Tribolium castaneum: one gene and its partner. The protein of the gene in region 2 purifies or fractionates together with the protein of the main gene of each other region. This does not show direct contact. Links are inferred from orthologs where the notes say so. Each region holds a gene or a part of one and is shown on either strand. Other genes may lie near its edges.

What was found. Proteins that work in one complex are often made in the same cells at the same time.
Region 1: the proteins of PAN2 (region 2) and PAN3 purify together in Homo sapiens (co-immunoprecipitation; 5 studies listed by BioGRID and IntAct, with this or other methods). This does not show direct contact. The link is inferred for Tribolium castaneum from reciprocal best matches to the Homo sapiens genes PAN2 and PAN3.

The regions. Positions count from the first base shown.
Region 1 is NC_087394.1:25,733,672-25,737,616, reverse strand, and holds the start of PAN3 (PAN2-PAN3 deadenylation complex subunit PAN3), read right to left. Parts: upstream 2,802-3,945; 5' UTR 2,784-2,801; exon of another isoform or gene 2,709-2,783; intron 2,545-2,708; 5' UTR 2,469-2,544; intron 2,418-2,468; 5' UTR 2,410-2,417; coding exon 2,335-2,409; intron 2,289-2,334; coding exon 2,165-2,288; intron 2,063-2,164; coding exon 1,899-2,062; intron 1,849-1,898; coding exon 1,611-1,848; intron 1-1,610. Other genes in the region: FAD synthase, read right to left, coding at 2,995-3,261, 3,309-3,659, 3,824-3,945. UniProt on the Homo sapiens protein: Regulatory subunit of the poly(A)-nuclease (PAN) deadenylation complex, one of two cytoplasmic mRNA deadenylases involved in general and miRNA-mediated mRNA turnover.
Region 2 is NC_087399.1:1,478,120-1,482,432, forward strand, and holds part of PAN2 (PAN2-PAN3 deadenylation complex catalytic subunit PAN2), read right to left. Parts: coding exon 4,169-4,313; intron 4,122-4,168; coding exon 3,826-4,121; intron 3,717-3,825; coding exon 3,075-3,716; intron 699-3,074; coding exon 475-698; intron 426-474; coding exon 94-425; intron 48-93; coding exon 1-47. UniProt on the Homo sapiens protein: Catalytic subunit of the poly(A)-nuclease (PAN) deadenylation complex, one of two cytoplasmic mRNA deadenylases involved in general and miRNA-mediated mRNA turnover.

The DNA.
Region 1 (3,945 bases), on a different chromosome or scaffold from region 2:
AGTTTTGAAACACCCAGTACTTGAGTCTTTTCACCGAATCTATTTCAATTGTTGTACAGTAGTTACCAGTTGCAACTATGGATTTTATTTAACTATTACCAGATGATATTTTTAGTTTTCTGGTCCTTTTCTTGGTTATATCGCCGATTAAAAAAATTTTAAAAATTAAAAGAAAAAATTCCCCTCTTTGCTTTTTTAATGCTGTTATGAATAATCTAGAGAATTTTTATTATCTTTCTAGATTTTGTTGGAATATGTGCTATAGCGTACTGAATATCTCTTGTGTACACCCCTGTACAGTAAAATATTGTCTACCATATAAGAGACCAAAAACATTCAAATAGAAACACTAAAATTGAATAGTGTTGTAGGAAAATTATTATTCAATATTTGCAGGTACACATTCCTTTGAGACTAATATCTTGATCAAAAGAGAGAAAAATATTCTAGAAATGAAATTTGGACATGAATATGGAACGTTATTTTAATATAAGTTTTGAATTAACGTATTAACATATACCACATACGAGTAAAAACTGATTAGTTGAATTTTCATGTTTCTTGATGTTTAGAAAAAATGCAAATTATATAAAGTTGTAACAAATTACAAAAATGAACATGTTTTTTAAGAAACTTTAAACGATTTTTAGCCTTTGCTGAAATCTGACAAATTAATTTGAAGACATTGAAAGACACATTAGGAACACAAGTCGTCCTGTTGATACATTTCAAAAAATTGCATGTAAAATAAAGCTGATTTGCTTTATTATTATTTTTTATTATTATTGCTTTTTGTTAAAAAAAGATAACATTAATTACTAGGAAACAAAATCACTGGAGTCTAACTCGAAATTCCATTTATTCCTAATTTATTTTTTATAACGATCTGGAGGGGAGAAAAATTATAGGAAATCCTGACAAAATCACGGAAAATCATCAGGGATTTTTGAGGAAATCAGAAGAAACCAGAGCAAATCGCCAAAAATCAATATAAAAAAACAAAAAAAATTAGAAGAATCGTGAGGAAATGACGGGACATCCTTTCAAAAATTAGGGGAAATCTTGAGAAAAGGCGAAAAATTATAAAAACATTCAAGGAAAATCTTAAGGAAATGACAAAAAAACAGTATTTTAAAATATTAGGAGAAATCTTAACCAAATTAAGAGAATTTAGAGAAAATATTGAGAAAAATATTTTTTAAAAATCAGGAGAAATTTTGAAGGAAATATCAAAGGAAATTTTGGGGAAAATCTAGTAAACAAAACCTCTCGTTTGTGAGTAATGTTTCAGTGAAGGTTTATTGGTTTATGAGCGTTTTCGAGCCTAATAATAACCATCGTAGGTGAAAGATAATTATGAGAAAAGATAGCTAGTATAAGATTAGGCCTATTAACGACTTAAAAAACCGAACATAAAAATAATAGCTTTTTTACTTGCAAAACAATTTATAAAATCAATCTACTACTTGCTTCGTATGTTAATGAAGATATGGCGCCTCATAAGAATTTTTAGGTTGGGAGAATTGGAAACGAAAGATGTGATAATGGAGCTCATCGACAATTGATGTTAGTTGGCCATGAATAAAACAACGGTCGGTAAAAACAATCACCTGCGTACTGCTGATTGGCCTGCATGAGCGTCAAGGCGTTGCGATTCATCAGCTCCATCTGGAGGTCCTTTGATATGAAAAACGAGGCGCCCTGCTTGGCCTTAAGTGAAGTGATGTGGTTAGGGGTGCCTGGGTACACATTGTAGTCCGAGGTGAGGTTGCTATTGACAGCAACATCAGTGGCGTGACAAGTTTCCGAGGTGGTTGGGTAAAAGTACGTTGTCCCGCCCACATTTTCCTAAAAGCACGCGGACCCTGTATTACCGGCTTTCGGTTGGTCTGGAGTACCTGATATGCCGCAACAGCTATGTTATTTACATCTGACATGGGTGAACAGCTGCTGACGCGATTGGGTGAAGCTGATTGACTGGAATTTTCTGGGTGGTCAGAAACGCATCGAATGGGCGAAGGGTCTAGCGTTGGGGTGAAAGAGTTGAAAATGTTGGGTGAAGCTGAAAACAAATGATTAGATTAGGAGAGGTCAATGGGTCCAAGAGCGTCATGGAAAAAAGAAAACAGTTGGGGTTTCAAGGCCACCAGCTGTTACACAATACCTGGAGCACTGGACACCAGACTTGTCCCTCCAACACATTGGGGACTCGTTAGTGGTTTTTTCGGTTCGATACTCAACTTGCTTTGGAACGACTGGTGCAAACTACCACTCGAATTTTGAATGTTCTACAAACGAAAATCCCGTAACTGAAACGTTACGTAAACACCTTACCATGTAATTTGCTAGTTTAGATTCCTGGGGAACCCCATTCGTTTGTGCGAACCGGTAATAAACCTGATGATCCATTAAATTCCCTGAAACAAAGAGACGTTACAATATTGTAACCCCTCAACGACCCCGCTCACAATTCTAGTAAAAACCATGCGATGGAAACATTTTAGTCGAGAAACCTGAACGCGCACAAAACCCCCTTTCTGAAAACTGAAATTAATTATTTCTATTTACTTCTGACACCTGAAAATTTGCTGAAAATAATCGCCATTTTGTTTGTGTTGATTTGACTTGTCGGCGATGTAAAAAATTAATTGTTGCCAATTTTGCCAAAAACACACTATGTGACCAAGGGCGCAAAAAGGTACAAATACCTGCGAGACCGTGCAAAAGATAACGATAATAATCGGAAAATAAAAAACAAATATGATAGTGCTAACACAACGCACCTTTTGTCAGGTTGGTAGATTGCAAGTTGGCAGCGCTGACCGGAGCCAATTTTAAATTAAAACAACCAATAAAACACAATTTCACATTTTTATTAAACAACATTAATAAACTCTACAGAACCAACATATACAATAAATAATAAAGTACGATCTATGTATTTTGCTACATTTCCACCCCCAGAAATAAATTCAGCTAGTTTTTCCCCGAAAATCAACTCGTATTCCGTCCATTGCGCTCCTTAACCTCTTTCAGTAATTTATAAGCCGGTAAGTAAAATTCGCCCTCGTCAAACGGCTCGTAGCACTTAAGAGAGGGATTCCGATTCGTATTTACGGTGTTCCCCAACGAGGTGAACCCCAAATCGTACAATTTACAGTACGGTACTTTATAGAAGAGTAAATAATCCCAAATATCGGAATAATGCCAGTCCAGGACCGGACTAACTCTGAGTATTTGAGGCCAATTGGAATCAGTCATCTGTAACCAAATTCTCAAAAACACCTTCAAAACTTGACGAAAAATACCTGAAAAACTGTCAAATCGCCTGAGTACGGATCTGTTCGTCTCGTCCCCATAAAGCATGCCTTGAAATTTGGATATTTTTCCAGAGTTTGGCCCAAAGCATCCTTGATTCCCGCGTTAATGACCATTATTTTCAAATTATAGTAGCATTTGCACAAGTCAATAAACTCGTCTTGCTCGGGAAAGGGACTTTCACTTTGGACGTAAAGACAGGGAATTGGTTGTGAATGTTGAGGAAATTTTTTCTTGACGACTGTTAAAACCAAATGGAGCAAAACGGTGCAGTCTTTTCCGCCGTTGAAACTCACGAAGATATTCTCTAAACCGTACTGTTGCAAACACTCTTCAATGTTCTGGAAAAAACAAAATTATTTGACGAGTCGCACATGGCTCCTCCAGTTGCCATAGAAACGTGCTGTAACTATGGTAATACAGCAGGACATGAATGGGGATTGTCATGGTGACAACTACGATGAGTCAAACCAGTGGCGGGTACACTGTCTTACCTCTTACTTACTTCAATTGCATGTTTGATGTGTGTTTCATTGCTGGAGTACACGTGTTCCCACACGTCTGAATTATCGATAAATTTTAAATTATAATTTTGAAACCTGTCACTGATTTTCCTCTCAAATTCCA
Region 2 (4,313 bases):
TCGGGCATCTTCGACCGAATCGTGCGTTTCCGACTGTATTTTAACACCTACAAAACCACGTGATTCCTGTCACTAGCTTGGGGAATCCCCTACCCAAAAAATGCCACGCGAGGAAACGCAGCGACACCATCCGGTGATGAGGTAGGTGAAACAAATGCACAGTGTCGGCAACTTGCTCAGGAGGCACCACTAAGTTAATAACCCTAAAGTCGTTCTTGAGCCCATGCCCCACGAAAATAACGCCACTGTCGAGCAAAAAGCGCAGTTTTGTGTACGTGGACTTTAAAGTCGTCAGGTGTTTTGAGCTGAAGTTGGCGTCCAAATCCCCGGGTTTGATTCCCGAGAATTTGGTCAAGTAGTCAACCACTTGTTCCTGCGTGGAAATATAGTCGTCGATGAAAGGGACGCCCTCCATGGGGCCCGACCTGAATTATTTTTTATTTTATTTTATTTTTTTAATTTCTTGTTTATTACCCCCGAATGCATGTAATTCGCGCAACGGACATTTGCGACGGTTTTATCATTGACATTTTGCCGTCACTACGTAGCTCAGCCTCCTCCTGGTTTAGTGTCACAAATTCCGCATCCATTGCGACTAAGTCGCCCTTTTTGGGGAATTCGTTGTCTGTTAGTGGTGTGAAAGTGATTGCTGAGGTGCCCCAACTGCGGGCTATGCACGCGTCTTCAGTGAAGACTTCCTGTTCACAAGGTTAAATAAAGAATTTTTTTAATTATTTTTATTCAGTGTTTTCTAATCTTTAGTCTCAACCGAAATAACGAACGAAAAGTAATTCATTCTCTGTCGGAAACACAAGAAATCATAATTAAACGGCCAGTTTTTTACTGGCTTTGCTATTCGTTCGGTGGGAATGCATTGGTCCGTCAATATCCAATGACAAACGCCTTTAATCGTGTTGCAGTTTTTGTTCGCTAGATAAACTGGGAGGAGGTAATTTTTACATTTTTATTGGTCAGTTTATGCATTCGAGGAACAAATGAGGCGATAAACCGGCTTTGAAGGGCTGGCCCCTCCCACTAGAACTTCGTTTTAGATGCGAATAAATGGCGAATATTAATCGACTCCAATTTTTTTTTCTTAGAAAAGCGTTTGTGTAGAAAGAAGTTTTGATGAAAAAATCGAAAATCAAACAAATCGCTATTTAAATAAATTACTACGTTTACGGACACCTTACTTACAGATATTTTTACAAACACTGTTGCCAATGAAAAAAATTGTTACGAACAATTCGTTCGAAATTTATGTTATTCTAGCCGGTTTTATTCGATATAAATATTTTGTTTTCTCCCTTATTTTACAAGGTTTGATTAAAAAACGTCTAAAAGACAAAAATAAGACGAAATTTGTGACATGTTACCTGCTTTAGTCCATAAATAATAAAATGGTGATAGTGATATCCTTACCTTTTCAAGCCCCTTAGCTGAAAATTTGCGTCGAAATTGATTTGATGATTTAATTTTGCTTATTTTACTGGATTTAACTCGTTTTTGAGCAAGAAATAAGTTCTACGAACATTTTCCAAAGCAAATTTTCGTCAAAAGTGTTATTAAACACAGTTTTTCTGCGAAATTTCGCTAGGAAAGACCGAAAAAAAGCACCAAGTCAAGTCTAACGCTACATAATACTTGACTTTTTCGAGAGTTTTAGTAAATTTTTCAGCTAGAAAACCAATTATTTCGCAAAATTTTGTTAAGAGTAAGCCGAAAAAACACCAAAATAGGTGGAAAATTGTACTATTTTGCCTTTTTCGAAAGTTTACGCACATTTTCGAAAGCCAAAACAAACAATTTTAATCCAAATTGATATAATTTTATCTTATTTCGCTCGATTTAGCTTGTTTTTGAGCAAATTTTTTTTTAAATCAGCCAAAAAACCTATAAAGTGTGGTGGAAAATATGTTATTTTTATGTTTTTGAAGCAAATGTTTAGATTATGTTCTCAGTTTCTCACTAAACTACTTTTCTTTTCCCGAATATTTTCAATGGTTTCAGCCAGTAAAAGGAATTAAGTCTTAAAATTTTCTGAGAAACAAACCAAAATTTCTGAAAACTATGTAAATTCTGCTTCCTTCAAATTTTTAAATACGTTTTTGAAACCAAAACCAATTCTTTTATTGGAGTTTTTTTTTGTAAAAATTGGTGAAAACTAGATTTCGACCAGATTCATTTATTATCCAAGAACAATAAATTTTTAGCAAAAGTAATGTTATTTCTGCCTTTTTTTTGGGCATTTAAGCACGTTTTAGAGTAAAAATCACAGTTTGGTAACCGAGATTTTGCAAAAAAACACCGAAAATTACCAACTTAGATCCAAAATTATCTTATTTTGAGCACGTTTTTCAGCCAGAAACGAAATTATTTCGCAAAATTTTATTAAGAGTAAGCCGAAAAATCACCAAAATTGGTGGAAAATTGTATTATTTTGCATTTTTTGAGCATATTTTTTAAAGTCGAAACAATTTTAATCCAAATTGATACCATTTTACCTTATTTCGCGCGATATAGCTCGTTTGTCAGCAAATTTTTAAAAAAATCAGCCAAAAACCTGGAAAGCTTGGTCGAAAAATTTGTTATTTTTATATTTTTCAAGCAAGTAAATACGTGTTTAGGTTACATTCAAAGTTTCTCGTCAGAAACAGAGTGAACAAATTAATTATTATTTTTTTTCCGAATATCTTGAACGGTCAAAAATAATGTTATTTTTGCCGTTCTTGGGCATTTAAGCACGTTTTAGAGTTAAAATCACAGTTTATTTACCGAGATTTCGCTAAAAGACGCCGAAATTATCTTATTTTTGAGCACGTTTTTCAGCCAGAAACGTAATTATTTCGCAAAATTTTGTGAAAAATTAATCGAAAAGTTCCTTCTTTGACTCTCGTTGAGGTCAAAACTAAATTTTTTTCAAAAAATTTACCTAAAATTAGGACACGAGACAAGAAAATGTAACCAAGGCCAGTGATTTCGTAAAAAAAACTCCGGACGTTTGTCATAAATCATAAAGAAGATTGTCATATAAAACTGTTCTAAATTCAGTCATTATTTTAGTGGTACATTACCTTTGAAATCGGCGGGGAAATCTCGGACTTCGCCTTCAAAATCCCCCTCGAAGAGTAGTACAAAATACAGGGAATCTTCCAGTCCAGACTGAACCACACAGCTTCTTGCATCGACACTGTCGATATACTAAAATCATTAAAGAGATACCACTTATGTTCCGACTGCGTTGTCTCCGACAAATACGAATCCGGTACTTTAATCAACGCCACAATATTACGTTTTTCACTCGACGCCGGATCATTAATATAACAAACAACAGCTGTTAAATCATACAACTCATCTTCAACCCTCTCTTCCCCCTCAACTTCCTTCTTATCCTCAACTTTCTCAATAATCAACTCGCCCTCTTTGAGCGCAATCGAAATCGAATGCGGCAGCCAATTGTTACTACAGTATGGATTATTAACAGGTGCTGGGGGCGGAACATTATCAAAACTGTGTCTAAAGCGACACCCTGGCCGCGAACAGTGGTCACCGTAACGACACGGCTTTGACGAACTCAGACTATTAATCTGGGGCGCTGTTGGCGGAGCTGCATTTTCCGTGACCTTAGCCACAACCTTATCCATCTGACTTTGCCAAAACTGCTTATGCTGCGGGTTGTGCAAGCCCGTGTTAATGGCCAAGAGTTTGGGAAGCGACTACAATCACACAATTGGTGGGAAGTACAGATTAGTATAAGTTAGGATGCGAAACGACCACAAATTTTGTGTATCTCGTTTCGCCTCCTACGCTACGAGAGGGCGCCACCTGGAGCACGCGTGTTTGTTGCGTCGGTGCGAACTTCTTGCACTCTTCGCACCACGCCGGTGTGGTTTGTTGCGAGCAAAGCGAACGCGTTAAAATATCGCAAAAACTCCATTCGTCACGTTCCGGTTCATTGGTCGGATAGATTAGGTTGCAGACGAGTAAAATCGATTCTTTTTTTACTTCGAGTTTGCACTTGAGACACGAGTGTTTTTGGATTTGTTTGGCGCCCAGTAATTGGATAATTTCACTCTCACTGTCGCGCTTCTCCTGCTCCATGTTCGCATTAACTTCTGATGCTACATTAAAAAATTACACGAGTTGTATACGAAATTTTTTCTCCAACCTGAACACTTTTTCCGGTCGTCTATGGCGGGAAAATCGGTCACGTTGTACGAAAACGGCGTTTTGTTGTTTTTTCGTTCGGTGTTTTTCTTTTTGGCTTCGGCAAGTTCGACGTGCAGTTGGTGGATAATGAAGCGGTTCCAAGA